3 linked regions of the Drosophila melanogaster genome follow. Changing the gene in region 2 together with the main gene of any one other region gives a genetic interaction. Each region holds a gene or a part of one and is shown on either strand. Other genes may lie near its edges.

Region 1 (8,474 bases), on a different chromosome or scaffold from region 2:
GAGGATGTGCCACTCAGATCCACTGATTCCCGTGGCGGCGACGATGTCTCCATCTGGCGAGAGACGGGCGATCGCTCACCTTCCATTCCATTGCATGGCGTCTGTGGAGGATTAAATGTATTTCTCTTATTCTTCGGCCTTTCCCGGGTAACGGAATGCCCTCGTAGAGCTCCAACACATACTCACTGGCATGGTCGGCGAGCTTGAGTTGCTGAACGAGAAGCGCGAATCGTTGTCCTCATAATCAGCCGCCTTGCTGACTCTGAAAATTAATTTAAGTATTATAAAATAATGTTTAGCTTGTATACGTATATATATATAAATACATTATATATTAATATAAAATATATTAAGCTAATTTTAAGTTTTGACCTTATACTCACGAGAACTTGGCAATTTCCGACAGATCAAATGGCGGCTTGGCAAACTTTTGGTACATGGCGAACAGATTGTAGCGCGAATCCTCGACAGCTTCCTTTATTTTTGGGTTGGATTTATCAACAAGATCGGGGATTAGAGACTCTCAATCGCATTTCAATGGAACCAAATGGAAGCTAAGCGAGGCAAGAGGCAGTTGCGTGGAAAGAGTTTTTTTGTAGGCCAAGGAAGAAGACACGTGGATCGTTGGTTTTGGCAATTTTGTAGGATTTATTTATTGACTCGTAAGTGGGAAAAGGTACAAGAATATATTGCAAAACGACTACTGACTAAATAACTTGGGTTTATATCTAATAAGATTCAATTGTAATGGGTTAGTGATTAAATTATAAAGGATTAAAGCATAGGTTAATCTAATAAACTTTCAAGCAACAAATACTAGCAACTCAACAGTAAAAACTACAAAAAACACAACCATTTACGAATATATATTAGTTCATGCTAATAAAGCTAGACGATAAGGATTAAAGAATTAAATACATTAGTGATTTAGTTATTTTCAAAGGTCTTTAAGACCAAATTGACTACACAGACTATATGGGTTATAGTCAGTTTTTTAACTACAAGATTAGAAGTAAGATTTATCAAGTCTAGTTCAAAAATACTGTAGTGTGAACTTGGATCCCTCTCCACAGGTCGGGATATTCTGAGAAGAACCTCTCGACTAGGATTAGTAATTGTGTTCTGGCGTTCGCGAAAGCTGCAAGGCAAATTGTTGGGTTATCAGGGAGCACCTCCGTCCGGAGGACTCTGAAGCGAAGCTGAAGCACTGCACCGGGCACCGGACCTATAGCTCTACGGTATCTAGCTTCCTTACCCGATTCAAGTCGAGCGGCAGCTGCGCAGCCTCCGTAGAGGAGAGTCGCTGTCGCTTGGAGGGCACGGCGGCGTCACTGGACTCGCAGTCCGTGTCGCCAGGAGCCCGTCCTCCGCCCAATCCCGCTCCCTGCGACGGCAGCTGGGTGAGCAGACCACCGTACCGGGCAATGCTGGCCGAGTGGCCGAACCCGGCATCCTTGACAATCTGCCGTGCCAGGGGGAACAGCTCATCCCGGCGGGTCAGCAGCCAGATGGTCTGGGGATTCCGACACAGCTGGGCCGCCGCCTCATTGACGCACACCTCGTGCAAGGTCAGCGGCTTCTCCGGCCGCCTTTTGCAATCGAAACGGCCGTAGATGGCCGAGTACTTACGGATCTCGTCCATGCGCCGCGGATCCTGTTCCCCCATGGCGATAACCTGCTCCAGTTCCCGGGTGGTTCGCTTCCTGGTGGTCTGGGCGCGCGGTTCCCTCTGGGGCAGTTGCCTGCCAATCTTATCAGCACACATGGTTATCCGCTGGATCTGCGCTTCGGTCAGAACAGGTGTGAGCTGGGGCGAACTGGAGGAGACCTGGTGGGCGGTGTTCGCCGGAAGGTTACTGTTCGCCGAGGGATGCGGACTGCTGGTCAGCGGGTTGGGGGGCAGTACCAGCGGCAAGGGCACCGAAGGAGCTGAGGGACAGCTGATCTGGGTAGCCAAGGGGACAGTGGGAGCGGGAACCGAGGCGGAAGCGGGCAGTGGAGCTGGGGGAACCGGCGAGGGCATAAAGGAGGAACCCGAGGGATTGAACGAGGGAAATTTCTGGCGGGGCAGAGCGGGCGTGGTGTCCGGATTGAAGATCAATGCCGGTTTCGGTGGCGTTTCGCAGAGACCTGCAAGTAACAAGGTATTAGCAAAAGTGTTTTACAGAGGCGGAAATTCATCAAATCAACTAAATATTGTAAAAGTCTCATTTTCCTTATATCATATTTCTTAAACTTACCCAGATGCGGCATCATGGGTCCCTGGAAGAGACCCGGATTGTTGGCCCACTCGTGCAGCGCCTTCTGCAGCCGGCGGACGTGAAGTGGCTTGGAAGCCATGCCGACCAGGGCCATGATCTCGAGGAACTCCTCCTCGCCGGCGTCGTACAACTGCTGCACATCATCACCGCCCATTTCCAGCAGGGTGTCGTAGTAGGCCAACAGACTGGCCCTCTGGAGTACCCGGTACAGCTGCACCTCCGCCTCGTTGCCCGGTCGCGATGTGGTGATCACTGGAAGATACAAGCAAACGTATGCATAAGAAACTGGCTTGAAGAAGTTCCAGCAAAAAATGATATTTATTAAGTTCTGGCCTGCGACGTTCTCACAATGCTACGCGCCTATAAGAAAAAAATTTTAATTAAATTCGCTTTTTCTTACCCAAAAAAAAAAAAAAACTCGACGGACGTCTGGACCCTAACCCTTTTTTCGTAGAGGCTGAGCAGAGCAAAAAAAAAAAACTCGAAAGCACACAAAAAGGATGAGGCAAGAGCTGGGAACCAACTCATCTGCATAAGCATGGTGGTTCAACCCCTTCTGAAAGACCAAGGATGCGATACGATCCGCTTTGAGTCGGCAAACTCGTTAGAAATGCGTCACGCATGCGCAAGATGCCAGCAAGGATTGCCAGGATCATCATTTAAATCTAACCTATTCTCTCTTTTTTTTTGTTTGCTTTTATCACTTTCAATTTTTGGCTCAAAATAGGTAAATTTTCATGGGTATATGGGATGGCATCGTGTGAAATATATATGTACATACATATAAAGTCGTACCTACACTCAAGTTCATAGGAAACCATCCTGACTAGCCAGCGATTTATTGCTCATACTAATGAATCCCCCGATCGAGGAGACTGTAACTGTTATGGCAGCACAGCTCTAAATGGACGACGCCGATGACGAGGATGATGATTATGTCAAATCGTAAATAATTATGTGAGAATATTTCAGGCGGCGACAACGTCTGCAGCCAGCTTTAATTAATAGAAAAACGAGCTGGTCGGCTAAATTATAACAAACTCAGGGCAGAAAAAGCTGCCTACATCGATTGCCATCCTCCGATTCCACTCGCTCTGTTTTTTTTTTTGTGGTTTGTATTCAGTTGCCTTGGCCAACTGGAAGCCACAAGCGCATCCACCGACGTGCAACACCAAGGATGCGCACTTCGCGCCATTAACCCACGCTCCGCTCCATGGGGTTGTTGCGATTTATGGCCAGGCAGCAAGAATAATTCGCATTCTTAGCCGCTTAATTGGGTATATCATAAATAGTTTGGAAACTAAAATATCAGACCAGTTGCGTCCACTTGAAAGCTGTGATCAACTGAGCTGAACTGGACTGAAATTAGTGTCGACTTTGAAAGTGCTTATAAATGTACGCTAAATCCAGCAAACTAGTAGCTAAGTGACAAGGTTATTAAAACTAGTTAATGAGAGGGTTATAATAGACACATTTGGCCAGTTTTAGTGAAAGTTTATGATCTATATATCTCTATATACATATAATATATTTAAAATGAAAAGATACATATGAGTAATGCTTTTCTGAAAGCTTTCTTAAGATTTTCAATTGATCTTGAAATTGAAAAAAAAACCTAGAGTGACCGCTGAAGGGTTAAGAGCGTGGCCACACTTCTGGTCTATTCCATCACTTGCCACCGCCCGCTCCCTGATCCTAACTTGGGTATTTAACGCAGACCTGCGTAAGTCGGGAGTCTGGTGGAGCAAACGGAGAGGGGCAGCCGGTGGTAGCAATAAATAAATGAGACGTGATTTCAATACACAAATAATGTGAATGGTGGGGGGAACGGGGGGGATATGGCGAAGCGGGAGGCTGGGAAGGCGGAGAACTGGGGACACTTTGTTGTGGCTGCTCCAGCTCCTCTGCTTCTGCGGATTGTTGCTGATTTTTTATTTATTTAATTTGCGGGTTTGGTTTTCTTTTTTTTTTTTGCTTGCTTTCATTTTTTTTACCCACTGCGTAAGAGCCGATGCTGCGGCTGCTGTTGTTGTTGTCATTTGCTAAATATGCTGTTTTTATGCGAACGGCAAATGGTGAAGATGGACAAAAAATTAACTGCAGTAACTTTTTAGTTGGCACTTGGCAGCAATAATGACATTCGACGCCACATACCAAGCAGCTGCCCAAGCAGCCAGGAGCAGAAAACGGAAAACCGCGAGCAGCCAGCAGGATAGGCACTTAGAAAAAAAGTGTGGTTGATTCTGATAAGATGTGATAATTGTTTCTAATGGAAATTATAATTATATATATTTCATACAAGGCGTCTCTGAGCATTAAGTTAAGTATGTACCTCGCTCATGCCTATATTATTTGTATTATTTTGACACACTTTTCTCACAGTGCATTTAGAAAATGCGTTATAGTGCATGTGTGTGTGTGTGTGAGCGGTCTGTGTGTGCGTGTGGAGCGGAGCAGTCAATCGTGCGATCGCTTCGATTATGGGCAAAAAGTAGACGCCGGACTTTGCAGACTTTGACTTGGAGAGTTGGACCTGGAATCGGAACCTGGAACCTGGAACCTGGGACTTGGGACTGGGACCAGGGTCTGAATCCTCCTCCTCCTCCTCCATTCGATCCTCCCTTTCTGCTTGGCATCGGCAATGGGCAAGTAACCGAAACTATTTCTCATATACAACGATAAATTAAAAGCCAACTTTTTCAACGACCAAATTCTTGTCGATCAAAATTCCATTGGTGGCAATAACGTGGACCGTACGTGCCAATGGCCAATGGCCCCGGCAGAGGAACCATAACCATAACCTGCACAGGAAAAGAATAATGTCTGTCCAAAATATTAAGTGCATTATTTTCGGGGTCATTACGATCTTAATCTTGCCAATTTGAGGGTTTTAATAGGACCTGTTTCGCCATGTCCATTGTACTTGTATAAATCTAAATAAAAGATACACTGGATACTCATTGGAAATGCTATGTTATATTAAGTGATACCAACTAGATAATATAAGTTGATTGAATCACTAAGAACTGGATATATATATGTTTTTTTCTCTGTGTGACGACATCTTTTCTTTCGGCGCTTGAGCATTTTTTCCAACGAGAACGCGTCTCGTTGGTTGCCTCCCCTTCCGCCAACTGAGATTTATTGAAATATTTTACTACCCTCATCGCTTGGGGTGAGTTTTTTCCGTTTCCTTACAACGTTTTTTCATATCACCCCTAAGACGCGACCTATCATCATGAGGTTCATCTAACGGCTGCCTAGGAAAAGGCATCTTACCTGGGTCTGGCATGGATCCTATTGGATGAAGTCTGCCATTGCTGCCTTAAGAAATCCTAGACCTTGAGCAAATATGCAAAGTAAGACACCCCAAGCAATCGAGCACCGAGGAAATGAAAACCGGAACAGGGTCCGCTATTTTTTAAGAAATTAAATTATTACCCAGCAAAGGTAACTTTCAGCTTCCTTTGTTAATAGACGGAGGTCCTTGAAGGACAGGGACAAGCTCCTTCGGTTTTCCGTTACATAACATCGCCAGACAATGGAAGCTCGCGAAAAGAGCGCGAAAATTGCAGCATGTGGCTGGATGAGGATTCCTTTGTCAAAGGATTCGTTGCGGTCGAAGGATCAGGATTGGACACAATAACATTTATACAAATGAAGACATCTGCATGAGCCAATGACGAAAGGATGTGCATGGCTTTCGGAGATAATTAGAACCTGTATCAGCAAATTTTTTTTGGTATTTTTAACGACAAAAACTATATTCAATTACCATCAACATAAACCATTTTGAAAGCCTTTAGAACGCAAAGAAATTAACTGACAGAAAATAGTTTATAATTATGAAAACAGGCATCCTTCACAAAGAATTTCTATTAGAAACTTTTAATTTGTTTCAAAACAATTAGTTCCCTTTCTACAATTGTACTTTGATTACCAAAGTTTATTTTTTAAGTGAGAGCATAGAAAACCTTTTACTTCTATCCACAACTGTACTGTGTTCACTAGTGTAACACAGCACAGTAATATCCTTGGAAATCCTTTTCACCATATTACAGCATCAGTTAATAATAAACTACTTACTTGTTCCATTCGCATTCCTTCCAAAGATCTTGCCCTGCGGACTCATAATGGGACTGGAGGAGGCCGACGGAGCGCCCGAGAGCGATCTCTGTCCCTCGGATAGTCCGCTGGCTACGGACAGATTGTACAGATCCTCCGTCTTGGGCATTTCCAGACTGGTGGTCAGCAGCTGTGACTGTGTGGCGGAGGCGGATGCAGATGCTGTTGCGGATTGGCTGTGTCCTTTGCTGCTGGTGCTGGCAGCTGGCGATGGACTGGATGTGGATGTGGTGGTGGCCACCGCCGTCGTGGGTGTTGTGGGATTCGAGCTCGCCTCCATTGCGATAAAACACGTTGGCAAACGATGACGGATTAAATTAACGCGATTGGCACGAAAGGCGATCAAATACCAGGCACAAACACAAAGAACCAGGACGAAATGCATGCAAACTAGGATCTAGGATCAGGGATCGAGGATCGGAAGAGTACTACAGGCTACGATTAACTACACTAGATAAGTATATAAGACTCTTTAGGGAGAGTTAAACAGAAGATTGTAACGGCAGTAACGAAACTCGCGCCACTTTCAGTCTCTCTAATCTCTGCGATCCGCTCAGCTCGAGGCCAGACGAACTTCTGTGCACGAATCCCAGAACGGACATCTGAGGAACCCTTTTGGAACCGGCCGACGACAACGAAGCCAACGAAGCCACCCGAAGTCCACCCGAGTGCCGGGCGCTTTCGTTTTCTATCAGCCGGGGCAAAAAAAAAAAAAAGGGTTAAAATCAGGGATAAAAACAAAACCAAACAAATTGTTCGGAGGGTTAGGAACGTAGGACATTGGTTTCCAGATTTGAGGGTTACTTTTTATCTGCCGATGCTCAAGATTCTCTTAGAGAACAATCATTCTCTCTCTCTTTTCGCAATTGAGCGACATTGAGTGAGTTTTTGTGCTCCGCCTCTTGAGAAGCACTCAAAGATTCGGAATGCCGGAGAGACTTTCCAAAAGATCCTTTTAATGTTTTTTTGGTGAAGAATTCCGTTAAATCTGTTGGGAATATTCAAATTTCAGCAAAAAAAAAATAGGTTGTATAAGATTGCATAACCCTTTTCCCATGTCAAATGAATCATTATGCAACTGCATTTTTTCGTACTAGAAAAGAAAAATCTGCTCTCCTTTGCCGCCAAAATTCGAAAATATTTAAATATCTTTAGGAAAAATATATATTTGAAATTTTGTAAGCAGTTTCTTGTGGAAAACGAAGAAACAGCTTATTGTAAAATATGATCATATATTTAAAAAATTAATTAAACCAAACCCTTTTTACCCAACCAAATCCATACTCAAATGTTTATATAACTGAAGATTTTTTGTATTTATTTTGTATATACAAAAACATTTTACCATAGGGCGTTATCAAATAGGGGAATACTTTTAAAGATTGCCGTCTACGCTACCGATAATCATAATAGTTAATATAGTTGCTTTCTGGATTTGGAGTCATTAGAGTTAGGTTTAGGTATGAATAGATTACACTAGGATGGAGTTACGTTAGCAGTCGAAGAGCGGGAACCCCTGGAAACAATCGTAGGCTACACCAGGCTAGTCGTCAGTCCTGGAAATCGCCACAAGAGCGGGGTTCCTCCCGCACATGGTGTCAGTGTGTCCTTTGCGAGATTCCTCACTATAAGTTATTCACGCTGATGATCTGGTTGATCCAGCCGATGAACGAGGACGTCTTCACATAGACGCCGGGCACATCCTGTCGCCCGCAGCCGAATCCCCAGGAGACGAGGCCGGCCAGCTCGTAGAACCCATCATCTTGGCAAACTAGTGGACCACCTCCATCGCCCTGGCAGGCATCGTGTCCCTCCTCTCCGCCGGCACAGAAACTGGAGGCGGGCAGGATGAAGATCTTCTCCGTCACGGCGTTCACCTTCCGTATGCACTCCGTATCGCTCACAATGGGAATCTCCGCCTCACGCACTCGCAGGGGAATGGGACCAGCTTAAAAGATGACCAAAAGTTAGAAGCTATCAAAGTAATCATAAGGATCTAGTCGCTACCTTCACCCATATATCCGTATCCGGTCACCGTGCATCGCTTGCCCGCCGCATGGCTGACTCCTCGTGCAGGAAGACACACCA
Region 2 (7,278 bases):
TTGATTTTTCTGTGCCAGTGTGTGTGTTGCTTTTGAACTTTTTGTCGTTTGAATTTTTCGGGCCGAGTGTGTGTGCGTTTTTTCGGCATATTTTTGGGTTGTTTGTGGCCGCTTTACTTGGAAATGCAATTCCAAAATGTATTTCTCTCGCCTTTTTTAAAGGGTTTTATCTTTGGCGTCTTACAGATTTTTTCAAAATTTCTATTAATTTTTAATATTAATATTGTATGATATTTGTTAGTAATATCTATTGTTTTTAAATCTTTTTAGTTGTTGAATTTTAAGTAATTTTTCAATTTATTACTTTGGAACTTAACTTTTTTTTTAGTTTAGTTTAGTTTTTAGGTTTAAGTTCGTTACCGATTTTAGAGCTCCTTTTAAGCCCTTTTTTGTCAGTGCATCGAAGTTTATTTCTCGCTGTTCTTCCCGCTTGTTGTATTTCTTTTTTTTCTTGTGCAGGCGCTTCGCAGGCTCCATCTTGTCTTGCCGTCCCTTTCCAGCTTCCTTGATCTTTCCAGACAGTCCGTCGTCGGCTTTTGATTCGTGGGCACAGTGGGACGGTGGCGGGGGCGGCGGTTTGGGATTGGGTACAGTGGGGCGGGGGCAGCAGAGACGTGGGAATCTGAACCCCAGATATCTATGTATAGTTGTTGCTTTTTTTCTTTTGCTGGTTTTTGTTATTTTTTTTGTAAGAGGTACATAGGTGACTCAAAGATCGCTAGTCCTTTCCCTTTCCCACTTCATCTTACCATACCGCACGCGCAAATTGATGCTCAACAACAACACCATATATTTGATTTGTTTTATGTCATTTTTTCTATTTTTATTTTCATAAATTTGCATACACACGCAAGCGAAGCAGCCCACTGTCTCCGACAAAAAAAAATCACGCACACACAGAACCACACACGCATGCAAATAGCGAAAGAGAGCGAGGTGTCTGCGGCAGTGTGTGTGTGTGTTTCATTCATGAATCCAGATTTTGCCGAGGCAGGAGAACAGAAGAAGCAGAGTAAGCTGGTAACGAAGCAGAGGCAGCATTTCGGTTTGTCATTTGCAACAAGTGCGGAGAGGTTCTCTTGTACACATATTGTTGCTGCACTTATTGCATGCCCTTTTAGTTCTTTTTCGTTGCATTGTTTTATTTTTTCAATTTTTCTAAGCTTAGACAGAACGGCGGCAACGTCGACAGAAATAAGCTAAAGCTATATGGTATATATGCACCCACGGCCATAACAACGAGTAAAAAAAAAACCAAGATAGTTGGAAACCTCTGTGTTCGTCTGGCTCTATGTGTGTGTAAAAATATAAAAAATGCAGCAATGCATTCAACAGTTGATTCAAGAGAGAGCAAAAGGAAGAGAGAGAGCGGGCGGTTTGGTTGGCGAGAGAGCGGCGCTCAACAAGTTCGTTCGACGATCTGTTGCGCGGTTTCTACGGATGTGTGTGTGTATGCTGACGGGGGACGTGGGCACAGGGGTGTGGGTCAAAAGGGGTGGGGGGCTCTGGCCGATGTGGAAGGGGTATGGGGGAGGGCGGCGTGTGGAGTGGCAGTGCCAGAATGTCTGGCAGCCACGACTCTGGCGCACACACGCACACCATTCAAAGGTGCCTTTTGCACACGTGTGTGTGCGTGTGTGTATCTGTATGAGCAACTGGCAGAGCCAGCGAATTTGTAGCGCAGCCAGAAACAACAACACAACGCAACACGGCAACAGCAACCGCAGCCGCTAACAAACTGTGCTGCGACACAGTGGCACAAAAAGCTGCCAGCAAAGGGTTAAGTGTGGGCCTACTAATACATGTAAAAAACTAATTTTTGTAAACAGAATTTAAAAATGGTTTCCAAGTAGTGCGAACATTTGTCGACTTTGGGTTTATGTTTAAAACAATAATCTGTTGTTGGCAGATAGCTAACAATGTTTTAGAGATAGAAGAATTTGAAACGCGTTTCACTTATTGACTCGATGGCCTATAAATTGATAAAGGGTTTTTTAATTATTAAAGAAGAAGAAAATGTGTTATATTATCTCGCTGTTAAAAATGTTATCTTTTGATTTGTTCTATTCCATGTTTTTAGGTATCATATAATATTTTTTTTATTTTTTATATAAAAAAAAGCCATACGAATTGGTCCCACTGTGCGGTTCGCGGTGTTTGTCAGTTAGTCAGTCAGTCGGGTGACTGTGGCAATCGAAAAGAGTGGACAAAGACTGTGGCGCACAGGGACGGGGGAATGGGTTGCTCCGTCCCATGTTGTCCATTCGGTCCCACCGTGCACACAACTCAGCACAGCACGGCACAGCAGCAACAAAAGCGCCGCAAAAGGGAACTGGTATTATGGCATCCCGCTCGCACTTGCACTCCAAGCACGCACACATGCAAGCGCAGACACCTCGCGACACGATTGTCGTCAGTTTGTCTGCAATGCTCAGCTTCAGCGCCATGCGCTCTCTCTCTGTTGCTCGCTCTCTAGCTCCCCCTCTCACTCTCTCTCCCACTGCTGCACGCACACGAACACCCACACGAACAGCAGCAACAACAACAGCAGCGCACAGCAGACAGGCAGGCACTTTACGCCTGTGTGCGTGAGCATTTCAGAGTGAACCGCAGTCGACGGCGGCGCCGGCAGCGACGCCGGCCGAGGCGAGGCAGTCTAGAACGTATCTTCGAACTAGAACGCCGAGGGCAGAACAATTGTGTTTTGGATTCCTTGCCGTGCGGATCGCAAACGCGAGTTATGAGAAGAGCGTAGTAAAACGTACGAGAAGTAGCTAACAAGAAAAGGAAAAGAGCAGAAGAAGCAACAGCACGCAGACATATATTTTTTTTAACTGTGTTTTATTTATCCGATCTATACCAATCGAAATATACACAACTATATAGATTTGAAACGGATTTTGAAAAGTGCTTTCAAATAAACTCCAAAAAGTATCAGAGCGAGTGTGTGCCAGTGTGTGTATGTGAGACGCGTCGCAGTCGACGTCGCTGCTTTGGGGACAGAGCTGCCAGATCGCGAGTTATGAAAGCGCAAGCGTCGCACGCAAGTAGCAACAACAGCTACAACAAAAGCACCTAAAACTTACTACCTACTACTACTGCAAAACACACTTGTTTGACTATTATTTCGCTACATTAAAATCAACAAAAATACACACAAAACTGACCAGAATCTTGGGAAAATAAAAACAATCTTTAAAGAACGCCACGAAAATAAACCATAATCATGGATAGCAGCAGCGAACAGTTGAACGGATCGGGAGCTTTGAATTTCAAGCGGCCCAAGGATTCTTCGGAGAATGCCACAAACAGCCACACAAATAATGGCAATTCTTCGGGCAGCCCCAAAATGGGAAGTCGTCGGATTTTCACGCCCCACTTTAAGCTGCAAGTCCTCGAATCATACAGGAATGATAATGATTGCAAGGGCAATCAACGGGCCACGGCCAGGAAATACAACATTCACCGCCGGCAAATCCAAAAATGGTTGCAATGCGAGTCAAATTTGCGATCATCGGTGGCCAACAATCAGCAACAGCAGCAGCAGCAGCAACAGCAACAGCAGCAACAACAGCAGCAGCAGCAACTACTCCCACAGCAATCGGTATCGCCGACACCGGCGGTCAAGGTGTTCCATCAGCTGAGCCATCCGCTGGTGCACCAGTTGCATCACCATCACGCCGCCGCGGTGGGTCATCATCATCATCATGCCGCCCACCATCATGCCGCCCATCATCATCACGCTGCAGCAGCAGCGGCGGCAGCAGCAGCGGCAGCAGCAGCAGCAGCAGCCCACCATCATGCCGCCCACCATTTGCTGGCAGCCAATGGCATGGTTCCACACCCCCTGGCCGCCCATCCCCACTTGCATGTCCCGGTGGCAATGCATCCTCAAATGCAGCATCAGAAGGAGCAACAGCAGCAGCAGCAGCAGTTGCAGCAGGAGCAGCAGCAACAGGATCAGCAGCAGTCACAGCAGGAGACACCTGCAACCATTGCTACCAATGGCAGCAATCAGGGATCCTCGAATGTCCTTTCGGCGGCCAAAATAGCCGCTGTTGTTGCCGCCGCCATGGCCACCAGCAATGGCAATCCCACACCGACAGCAACAATCCCCGCCAGCAGCAGCAGCAGCAGCAACACATTGCCGAGCAGCAATAACAGTAGTTGCCACAACAGCAGCAGCAGCAGCAATAGCTGCAACAGCAACCAAGTGCCAATACAAGTGCCAATCCTGAGCGGATCCCCTGGGTCCACATCGTCAGCCAGTCACATTCCACATGTGCCCTTTGCCTACCATCACAATCTGCATGGCTATTTGGAGAATCGACTGGAGGCGGTTGCCACACCAGCCCCCATGGACCTCTCTCTCGGATCCTCTGCCCGCCGTCAAATGCAGTTGCACGAAAAGGATCCATCTGGTGTGGATCTCACTTTCCGCAAACGTAAGGTCATCACTAGTCCGATGCAGCCGGATAAGATTAGTAAGCTGGAGGAGGTGATCAAGAAGGAGCCCGAAACGGAAACGGAGAACGAGGATGTGGAGGTGGACGTGGAGACGGAGCAGCCGGAGGAGCACAAGCTGCCCTCTAAACAGGTCAAGCTATTTAAGCCCTATTTGCTGGACGATGATGAGGAGCAGGATCATCATCATCATCACCATCACCATCGGCAGGAGGATTTGGATGAGGGAGCTGCCGAGGAGGAGCAGGACGACGAGGAAGAGTCCCGCTATGCCGACGATGATGAGGTGGACTCCAAGGAGGCGGCCGACAAGAAACAGCGTCGCCTCAAGAAAAAGCCATCGGCAATCAACGAACAAAGGGAACCCATCATCTGGAGCAACCATCCGTATCCCGGTGGCTGTGTATCGCCCGGCAGTTCGATCACCAGCAGCTTTCAGTGCCCCACCAGTATGCAACAGCAGCAGACATTTCCCGTCGCCGGCGGGAGTCCTAATCAGCAATTTCAGGACAACTGCAGCTCCAGCAAAGCCACCACGCCCCTCAGCCCATTCTCGGCGCCCGCCCTCTCGCCCACCGGCTTCTGTTGCCCCAAAGGATCGCCCGTTTCCGGTTACGAGAGCAGCTCATCCACCTACAGCGACAGCGGCAGCAACTACAGCCTCAATCTCCAGCTGCATGCCGTCTACAACGACAATCTGATGTACATGCAACAGCAGCAGCAGCAGCAGCAACAGCAGCATCACCTGCAACATCAGCAGCACCTGCAGCGCTGGCTGGATCAGGAGTCCTTGGCCACTGCGAGGACATCATCCGTCAACCGACCACTGATTCTCGTGGCGGATACTGCGCCCACAAACCTGACCCTGGTGGCCTAAGAACACACACACACACACACACACACACACACACAACAAACAACACACACAATAGAAACTAAGGAAGCAGCAATCCCACCAATCGGATGTTATAATGGCAGTCACTGGGCCTGGCCTTTTAGTTCCCTAAGCCATATTTAAGCTTAATAACGTTTTTTTTAGCCCTACCACCTAAGTTTACCTTAATAAAAAATTGTATATCTAAGCGCAAACATATATCTTCCAAGCATATCAGCAAAAAAAACCCCAAACCCTAGGTATAAACCCTTCTTTTTTTTTTGGTTACACACTAAGAACAAATTAAGCTTAAGTTCAGATTTTTCTTTTTTTTTTTCTTGTATTAGCTTGTGTAAATAATTGTGTACAAAAAGTGAAACAAGGCGAAACAATTGAATTTGCTTAAGAATTTCAACGCTTCATTTCATTTGTATAACTTGTGGGAGAGTATTTTAAGAGAGAAAATGTGAAAAATGCAACTGGAAAAACTGAGAAAATTGTTAAGAGTAAAGCTTTAAAAACGAAACAAATACACACCTTTACAATACACACTTTTTTTATTTGGAAATTGAAAATTGAAAATTCTTGTGATATGACAACAACAAAACAAAATTTTAATAAAATTGTTGAAAACTGAAGCTTATTGAATATACAGCTATATTATACATAAATATATATTTACAAACACAAAAGAGAGCAAGAAATTTAACGTAATATTAAGGGTTACATTTAAAAGTTAATTATAATGATATACAATATACATATATACAATATATTTATATACAAACAAGAGGAGAACGTTTTTTTTTTTTTTTCATTGCCAAGGGAAATATTAAATGCGCCTATACATAGAGAAAGAGATATATATATCTAAATGTATGTATATATATAAAATCAGTATTTTTATATATTACATTTGACAACAACAATAATAATAATAATAATTGTGTGACCATACAACAAACAAACAACAAAATCAAAAGGAAAACGAATTGATTAAATTAACAACAGAAAACTAAAAAAACTTTAAATTAAACTGGTTTTATCATTGCATTTGCGTTGGGTTTCGAATGAAGTCATTGCTTTTCAGATGACTGCAAATATTTCAGGGATCTATCTATAAGATCTTTTTTGGTTTCTGGGTTCAAAAAAAAAAAAAATCAATATCAATACACCCCCGCCGCATCAATTGGGATAATCTAGATTCGAGAAAAATCGACCTGCCTTTAGCTCCGCAATTCTTCTTAGCTGTCAGTGTGAGGTTAAGGCCCCATTTATAGAACCGATCGCCGTTTGATCTTTGCGATCATACCGAATGTGCCATTCAAATGTGTGTGCGTTATTTGCGTGCCTCATTGTGACAACTCATGGGTTGTCAGTCAGTCAGTCAGTCAGTCACTCAAGTCAGGGCATAGCTTAAGGCTTTGGGGCTTTCCATTTCGAGTGCCTGTGCCACGCCCCCTGCCCCCCCCCCCCCCCATCCCCTACGCACAGACTAGACCACCCACCGCCCTCCGCGAGCTACTCGGTTTCTGGTCAAATTCGCTTGGCACATTTCAACGGCGGGGTATGACTAAGCCGCAAATTCTATAATGATCGTATTTTTAAAACGTTTAAAAATAAAGTGCTCTCGTTTGCCAATGTGTGCGCCAATCACGAGCCCCGAGCCGCAGCATTCAGCACCACTGCGATCCACAGCCACATCCACATCAGCATTAGCATCAGCATCAGCATCAGCACCACCGCAACTGCCACAGACGGCAGCTATCGTATCGTATCGTATCGGATCGGATCGGATTGGATCGGTTTGGGGGATCGGTTCTTGAGACAGAGCGGCATACTCATTGTTTTTCACTTGACGCGCTTTCCCTTCTGCAGAGCAAAAGGCAAATCCGAGCGATCGCTGCCAAAGAATTTTTGCGACATTTGCGGACAAAATA
Region 3 (8,695 bases), on a different chromosome or scaffold from region 2:
CCACCTCGTTGCGCCGACAGCGGCGAGCATTTCTCCCTCCAGCGTCAGTTCCCATCCCACAGGTAAGCTAAAATTATAATTAGTCCGGTTTAAGCCAGATATGTATTTAAATATGTAATATTAAGGCGTTAAAATGCTACTAATAATTATAAAATGCTATTGTGCAGAGAGTTTATCCCTTTAAAATAATTCTGCGTGTTAGCAGAGTGGTTCAATAGGAAAAATGTCAATCATACTTTATTTCTATTTATAAATAAAAAAGTTGAATAATAATTTCAATCGAAGAAGTTATTTTTGGAAATAGATTGCGGCAGTTAATTACAAGTTTTGTATTATTATAAGTAGAATTCTTGAAGTTTTTTTGGGGTTTACTTGATCAACTTTGTTATGTAAGCAGTTGGACTCTTCAACTAAATGCGTGATGTGAAAAATTAAAAATGAATGTTCTGATTTCACATAAGAAATAATATTATTCGTCTCCAGTCGCGATGACTTCTGACATTTTCTTAAGCCCCTGCTCAAATGTATTATTGTAATTGCTAAGTATGGATTTTTATGCGATTGTACATACATTTTGTTGTCAAACGGGTTGAGAGTTGTTCTCATCGCATCCTTTTTACGATTTGTTAACATTTCCTTGGCCTCGACTGCGTGCCTTTTGCTTTTCTTCCAATGGCAATTGCCATAAAATTCCCATAATTGTCCATTGCAGCGTAAAATTTGGCAACTGCCTTTGGAAGTGAGACAAGGAGGGGAATCTGTAGAAGAGCCAAAAGGGAGAAAGGATGTTGAGATAGGGGTGAAAAGAGACCCGGGGTTTCCTAACAATTGGGCTGTCATAATTTGCTGACTGAACTGGCGCACGCATGTATTTGTTTAACTAATTAGCATTAATTAGTCACTGCGCTTGACGACTCGTATAATTGGTCGCGATCCATGGTCTTTATGCAGTGAGTTTTTCTGTATGTTGCTGCTGTTGTGGTAATCGATAAAAAGCGCCAACAACAAGCCAACTAACTACACACAATGTGGTGCCATCTACCACGCCTCCCCGCCCCCATTCCATCGAAATCTCGGACATAGATGGCGCTGTGGTGCGCGCGTGTTAAGTATTCAAATCAGCCCCCAGAATCGGGCAGTAAGAGCGGGCGGTGAGTCTGAGAGCGTTTTTTGTTCGTTGAAGAGCGGATGCCTTCACACGTACACTGTGCGTGTGTGTTTCGCCCTCGATGACCCCCTGTGACTTGGAGCACCTGCTGAGCTCAGCGAATTCCAGAGCCAGTCCCAGTCGAAGTGCGATACCATCTTTACCTCATTGAAGGCGCTAGTTGAAACAGTGCTATTTCCCCCAGCAACATCCAAAACTCTCTTCGGCTCCCCCCACTTACACACGCACACTCGCTGACAGTCTGGGATCCACACAGACGCTGTATACAGTGTACGTGTGCATAACGCGCCACAAGAGAGCCGCACCAACTGCCATCAACATAACATCAACCACCACCACCATCAATCTGAGTGCTTGTGCAACATGCGCATGTCCGCGCTCTCTTCCAAGTCACACGGACGGGGAGGCACACACACACACACACACACACACACACACACACACACTGGAGCGGGCTGGCGCCGCTGCGCTTAGAGTTTGTGTTCGTGTGCTGGTTCTGGTTCTGGTCTTGGTCTTGTGTTGTCGGTGTGCCGTGCCAGCGATGTGGATATGTTGTCGCCGTGCGCGTTGCTGCCGTCAGTGTAGATTTGTGCTTCGCTCTGTTCGGTTGGAAGGCGCGCGGGCGTCCAGCAGCAACAACAGCAACTACAACAACAGCCGAGGCAAGCGGCCCTGCAACTTCGTCGAGGACTGGGACTTGAACGATTTCGTACTCGCCGTCCATTCACATTCACATTCGACTGGGAGTGTTTCGTTCGAACGGTTCGAAAAATACAAGTTGAACATTTTCGAAAAATTTAACTGAAAGAAGAAACGTTTTTGGAGTCGTATAAAAAATTAAATCAAAAAACAAAAAACACAATCAAAACATCGTGTCGCCGGCGTTGTGAGGAGAAATAATAACATTTTTGTTAACTGTTGCAAACATTGCCTTTAATTGTTTGTTTTGGTCGTAAAATCAAATTTTATGACCAGCAACATAAAAAGCGAACGCCAGCAGCAGCAACAACAACGACTGCAGGCCCCACAAATAATAAACTATTTATGATAATTATAAAAGAGAGAAGAAAATCAAAAACAAACGCCAACCGAAAAAAAAAGAAAAGTGAAAAGAAAACATTAACTGACAAAGGAAAAATTGGAAAAGTTTTGGAAAATTGGATTGACCGAATGAAAACTGAAAAAAGCCAATTTGAAAATACTGCGTGAGTTGCTGACGACCGCAAGCACCCTGTGAAATTCAAGCTGATTCGATCCCCTGTGCAACAACAAAGTTACTCTCTTCGCCCGCTCTTTAGGCAGTGTGCGTGTGTGAGTAAGTCGGCGTGTGCGTGTGACCGCTGACGGACGTTTGTGTGCGTGTGCGGTACGCAAATAAAAGGGGCAAAACTCGAGTAAAGGTGCTCTGAATATTAAAAATAAAAATTATTAAGTCGCGAAAAAAATATAAAGAGACTTAAACAATTAGAAAGGCGTCACTCAGAGGAGTGAGAAAAAAAAGACAGAGAAAGGTCGGTGGGTCGAGGCGATCGACCCCACTGCACCGCCTTTATCCTCGCCGCCGCAGTTCGAGTGCAACGCGTCCAAGATAACCGTAAATATTCCACCCCTCCCCCAAACCCCAACCATCCCGCTGGCGTGCGCTCTCTACGACCCCCACGATGTCTCGGCAGTCGGGTCGCACGCCGCTGCCGGGGCGTGGTGGGGGCATCACACACACACCCACACCCACGTACCCACCGCCCCGCACCCGCATCCGCATCCCCAGGCGCATCCCTCCCTGCCCGTCATGCAGCAGCACCATCTGCAGCAGCAGCAACAGCAGCAGCAGCAGCAGGAGCAGCAGCATCTGCAGGAGCAGCAGCAGCATCTGCAGCAACTGCATCACCATGCGCACCACCACCTGCCTCAGCCTCTCCACACCACCAGCCATCACCACAGCGCGCATCCCCACCTGCAGCAGCAGCAACAGCAGCAGCAACATGCAGTCGTCGCCTCCTCACCCTCCTCGGTGCTCCAGCAGCAGCAACAGCAGTCAACTCCCACCACACATTCCACGCCCACGCATGCGGTTATGTACGAGGATCCTCCGCCTGTGCCACTTGTCGCCGTACAGCAGCAACACCTCCCCGCTCCGCAGCAGCAGCAGCAACTTCAACAGCAGCAGCAACAGCAGCAACAACAGCTGGCGACAACACCGGTGGCCGGCGCCCTCAGTCCTGCCCAAACACCCACTGGACCCTCCGCCCAACAACAGCAACATCTCACATCGCCCCACCACCAGCAACTGCCGCAGCAACAAACCCCGAACAGTGTCGCCAGCGGCGCCTCCTCGAATCTCCAGCAGCAGCAGCAACAGCAGAATGCTGCAGTTGCTCCTGGCCAGACGCAGATCGTTGCGCCGACCACGGCGAGTGTTTCTCCCTCCAGTGTTAGTTCTCAGAAGGAAGGTGAGGTCCCAGAAATATAACTTTCCTTGGGGTTGAAAACCAGCGGATTTCTTATTGGAACTCCATTGGTTATGGGCTTTCAAAGATCGTTGGGAAATATATTTTTTGAAATTTTCTACATCTGAACTGGAAAACTCTCGAAATAAATTGGGGACGTTAAATTGGGAACGGGGTCGTTCCACTTGTTTTTTTTTCCCCCCAGTTGCAATAACGTTTCAGTTGTGCTGATTGCAGCACGTTTTTCAAGGCTGATAAGGCTTTTCTTTAACTCTCCCAGGAATCGTCACGCATTTAATTTATTTACTCAAAATATTTGCGTCTGTTTTATCATTATAGACTATATAATTGCAGGGTGGTAACAACTTTAATTTTGTAAGGAAATTAAAAATTTTTAAAAATATTGTTTGTGAGTGTACTGAAGTTCTTCAAAACTGCATTGGTTTTTTTTTAAAGAGTTTACACAAAAAAAAAAATTAAACGATGATTTGAAACGTAATCGTTATGGTAACCATTTTATTACCTTAAGTGTTGACACGTGTTAAATATACAGATTTATATATAGACGAGGTGTGAATGCACCCACATCCATGACATCGACAAACAATCTAAGGGTTATAGGCACAAATGCCACGCCAAGTGATAAAATGCCAAATGATCAAGGAGGTCGATTTGATCATAGACAGTCGTTAAAATTAGACTTACCAGCCCTAGTGCCAATATTAACAGCAGCAAATCTGCGCTTATCGTTTACTTTCAGACATCAATATGTCCATACAATTAGCGCCACTGCATATACCCGCCATCCGGGCCGGTCCGGGATTCGAGACGGACACCTCGGCGGCGGTCAAGCGGCACACGGCACACTGGGCCTACAACGACGAGGGATTCAATCAGCATTACGGCTCCGGGTACTACGACCGCAAGCACATGTTCGCCTATCCTTACCCAGAAACGCAGTTTCCGGTTGGTGTAAGTATGGCCACAGCGCCACCCACGCCTCCACATCAGTTGTAAGCAACTTCGTTCCAACCCGACCTCATTTCTCCCCCGCAGCAGTACTGGGGCCCCAACTACCGCCCCGATCAGACCACCTCTGCCGCAGCGGCGGCGGCCTACATGAACGAAGCGGAGCGCCACGTGAGCGCCGCCGCCCGACAGTCCGTCGAGGGCACATCGACGTCCAGCTATGAGCCGCCCACCTACTCCTCGCCAGGCGGCCTGCGCGGCTATCCCAGCGAGAACTACTCCAGCTCAGGTGAGTCCAGACCGGCCAGAGTCGGCACACTTAAGGGTAACGAGGTTAGGCACACTGGAAATAATTTTGAGCATCTTGCAACTCTAGTTTGGGAGGAGAAATTTTAAAGATTAAAAATTAAAAATTTACTGTTTACAATTCTTAAAATTTTTAATAAAATATTTGGTTATTCATATGAAATTAAATTAAAGTGAAAAATTATACGAATTCAAAATTCTGTTTAAAAAGAGGCGTTCAAATTCCACCTAAATGTTTTTAATTGTAAAATATATATTTATAGACCGTCAAATTTTCCAATGAATCGATAATTATTTGGAAGTGTTTTTTATATGGTGCTATTATTTTTTTTCCTAAAAGCCAAGCCAATTATTTAAACAGCCCTAAAATATTAAGCATCCTACAATATAAAGTTCAAGATTATTTGATTTTCCTATGTGCACTAGACTTTTCGTCGTCGTATCGGTTGAAATAGCAAATTGCGAAACCGTCAAGTTTGTCGTTCAATTAGCGTAGTGCAAAACGGCCCATAAATCGATACTCGCTATTTGGCTAGCGTTACGCCTTTATGTGGGTGCGAAAGTCATTGGGGTTTGCATTCTATGGGGTTGCCTGTTTATGTTCGTGTCTTATCACCAGGTGTTTTTCAACTGCCAGAATTGTATCTGTCGACTAGTCATATTTTCCCAGTAGTATCCATGGTATCCATAGTAAAGACTCGTTATTATGGCGGAATATGTCAGTTAAGTGACCTCGCCAGCCAATTTTACAATTGGAATTCAGGTCTCTTAGGCTCGATAATTAATTTCCAATCTGACCTAACTGTCCTAACTGTTCAATGCTACCAAGACTAATCGAAGAAATCAGATTAGATTCGAAAAGCTCTTCACTCGTGCTGAACTAGCGTTTAAATTAAAATAAATCCAACTTGTCACTTTATTTCAACATTAATTTAATTGCTTCATTTGGTCGGCCAATGAGCGGGAACGAATGTATTCATTTAGTGTTATCCACTCGAGTGTGAATATGGGCCTCATGCCAATTCGGAGCTCCGCTCCCCGTACCGCACCAATTAAGAGGCCATAAATGAGGAATTGAATAATTTCGTATTACGCTTATTGCTAAACAATTTCCGTAATTGCTCTATAAACTTAACGATCTGATATTGCACCGAACACCGAGCAACAAAACCATCGGACCACCCGCACTTGCGGTTTAATGAAGTTAACCATGTAGTTTAACCCCATTACTTGATGATGTTTTCAGGAGCCTCTGGTGGATTATCCGTGGGAGCAGTGGGTCCTTGCACGCCCAATCCCGGACTGCACGAGTGGACCGGTCAGGTGTCCGTCCGGAAAAAGCGCAAGCCGTACTCGAAGTTCCAGACCCTGGAGCTGGAGAAGGAGTTTCTTTTCAATGCGTATGTTTCCAAGCAAAAGCGCTGGGAATTGGCCAGAAATTTGCAGCTGACCGAGCGACAGGTGAGTCCATAAACCTACTGACTTGAACTGAATTCATTAAACAGGCGTTCCTTTCAGGTCAAGATATGGTTCCAGAATCGGCGCATGAAGAACAAGAAGAACTCACAGCGCCAGGCCAATCAGCAGAACAACAACAACAATTCGAGCAGCAACCACAACCACGCGCAGGCGACCCAGCAGCACCACAGCGGCCACCACCTGAACCTTAGCCTGAACATGGGTCACCATGCCGCCAAGATGCACCAGTGACCCTTGGACAACAGCAGCGCTGGCGCCATGGGCTTTGCCACCTACTAGCAGTTAGCCAATCCGAGTTCGGGTAACCCCAGCTCGAATCCCAACCCCATGTCCGATCCGAATCACCATCATCTAATCAAGAACGAGCTGGCCATGGACTTTCCATGCTAGTCCAGCGATTGGAAGGGCGATTCCAGCCAGGCCGAGTTCAGTCGGTTAAATGTACAAAAACCAGAGATCTCTAGCATGCGGGATAGGAATATGTGACCACAATGAGGAGCAAGGATGTGGATGAGCAACTGCCCAGAAGTGCGCAGGCGTCGCTGATGTGTGACCAACCGACGTTGATGCAAATGCAGTTTATTATTAAGTCAGTTCTACGGATCCCAGAGATCCAAGCCCCAACACGATAATGCAGCTTAGTTCGGTAGTTGAATATAGATACGAGTAAGATGAAGAGTAAGCAGCAGCAGTAGCAGATGCACTTGAAATTCGCAACTGTACGAAAATATATGTATGTACGTATTTCTCTCAACGCTCTCATTAGCCTAGGCGAGCACTATGAATTTTCCGAACTATAAATTATGAATATGAATATACTTAAACGTCAGTGAATATAACCCCGCATAAATTATGAATACACGCGTTCGAGTAGTAGATTTTACCATACCTATCCAATTAAGAGCGGCCACAAGGCGGCTGAGTTAGGCTGAGCAGCAGAACACATTTTAGACCCAGATAAATGTTCTTGAAACACAAATTGAAATTGTTTAACAATTTTCGGACCCCTCACAGCTCCGCAAACAAGAAGACACACTCCGCAGTCTAGGATAAATTTTGTCGTATAATGTTCGTCGTGTCGTGTCCTTTGATACCTTCTAAGTTCCTGTATATAAACTAAGACATTGCGCTGATTTCCGGCCGAAGCGAGCACTCGATAACTAAATTACATCAGATATATGTATATGTATATTGCGTACACGCAGAGATATTCAATATTTGTATAATATGAACTCGGATTCGATTTTAGCAAATGGTTAATTGTAAGTTGCAAAAATTTCAATGAGTGTGTGCATGTTTACCCCATAGTTGAAGTCGCTTTCGAATTAAATTAACTCTTAAACCAAGGAAAACACTTAACAAAACTACTCGTAAAGCTAAAGCAACAAAAACTTAAAAGATACACACTTAACAGAAGTAAGCGAGTGTGAAAACGATGGAGGGGAGATGTCGGGGAGGAGTAATTAGCATACCGTAACAGCTACTTATATAACATACACATAGTACATATAGTAATCGTACATATGCATACATATATTTTCATGTGTATCGACGCCGCTTGATCCTGATATTAAGTCTAAGTTTAGTTGTGTTGTGTAATTATCGATTTTGTTAATGTTTTGCCCCGAGCATTATATTATATTATGCTAACCTATACCTATACCTACACCTACACCTATGCCTATCATTATATGTGTATAATTAGCCTATACATACTTGATGAAGAAATGATTTCACCCACTGCTTTATTCATGTTCTTGTATTATTATTATTTCGAGCCCTCGATAAGTTGTAGTCTAAAGTCGGTTATGTTTATGATTATGTTCGATTATAGTTTGTTTAGTGAATTTTAATCTAGCGTTAGCAATTCTCTTTTTTAAAAAGTTAATTATTGTGAATAAAATACAACAAGTTGCAGAAGTGCAAAAATATACACACAATTCAAAATATCCCAATTACTTCGCATTACTCCGCATTCCGTACAACACCATTTTCGATATCCTTTGGATATCCTCCACAACTGTTCTATTTTTTCATTCATTATTTCGGTAAGTACACCAAAGAGGAGGATGCTACCACATCGCAAGCGACCTCTCACCATCGAATTTATTCATAGACATCCAGATACTCGTACTCGTACAAAACGTAAAGCAAAATACGTATGTACTGCACTTACTCGTAGGGGATCAGCTCGTAATCGCCACTTCCTCAGACAAAATATAAAAATCTGATACAGAACAGAACTTTCTGAATTATTTCATTTCGATCTTTGTTTCCTTTTATTGCGTTTCCTGATTTTTGTTACAGTATTTTTACACGGATATTG

The links. Genes that interact genetically often act in the same process or in processes that back each other up.
Region 1: of brk (region 2) and nab, changing one suppresses a phenotype caused by changing the other (phenotypic suppression), as found in Drosophila melanogaster (one study listed by BioGRID).
Region 3: of brk (region 2) and Abd-B, changing one suppresses a phenotype caused by changing the other (phenotypic suppression), as found in Drosophila melanogaster (one study listed by BioGRID).

The regions. Positions count from the first base shown.
Region 1 is NT_037436.4:4,153,984-4,162,457, forward strand, and holds the start of nab (nab), read right to left. Parts: upstream 6,950-8,474; 5' UTR 6,667-6,949; coding exon 6,348-6,666; intron 2,514-6,347; coding exon 2,241-2,513; intron 2,131-2,240; coding exon 1,256-2,130; intron 476-1,255; coding exon 384-475; intron 263-383; coding exon 187-262; coding exon of another isoform or gene 127-186; exon of another isoform or gene 102-126; coding exon 1-101. Other genes in the region: mas (masquerade), read right to left, coding at 8,012-8,334, 8,394-8,474. UniProt on the Drosophila melanogaster protein: Transcriptional regulator that can both act as a coactivator or a corepressor depending on the context. Lacks DNA-binding domains and acts by associating with other transcription factors such as rotund (rn) and squeeze (sqz).
Region 2 is NC_004354.4:7,305,247-7,312,524, forward strand, and holds brk (brinker), read left to right. Parts: upstream 1-2,692; 5' UTR 2,693-3,226; coding exon 3,227-5,341; 3' UTR 5,342-5,886; downstream 5,887-7,278.
Region 3 is NT_033777.3:16,927,294-16,935,988, reverse strand, and holds the start of Abd-B (abdominal B), read left to right. Parts: upstream 1-1,746; 5' UTR 1,747-2,957; coding exon 2,958-3,618; intron 3,619-4,375; coding exon 4,376-4,587; intron 4,588-4,671; coding exon 4,672-4,873; intron 4,874-6,136; coding exon 6,137-6,351; intron 6,352-6,408; coding exon 6,409-6,600; coding exon of another isoform or gene 6,601-6,759; 3' UTR 6,760-8,695. UniProt on the Drosophila melanogaster protein: Sequence-specific transcription factor which is part of a developmental regulatory system that provides cells with specific positional identities on the anterior-posterior axis.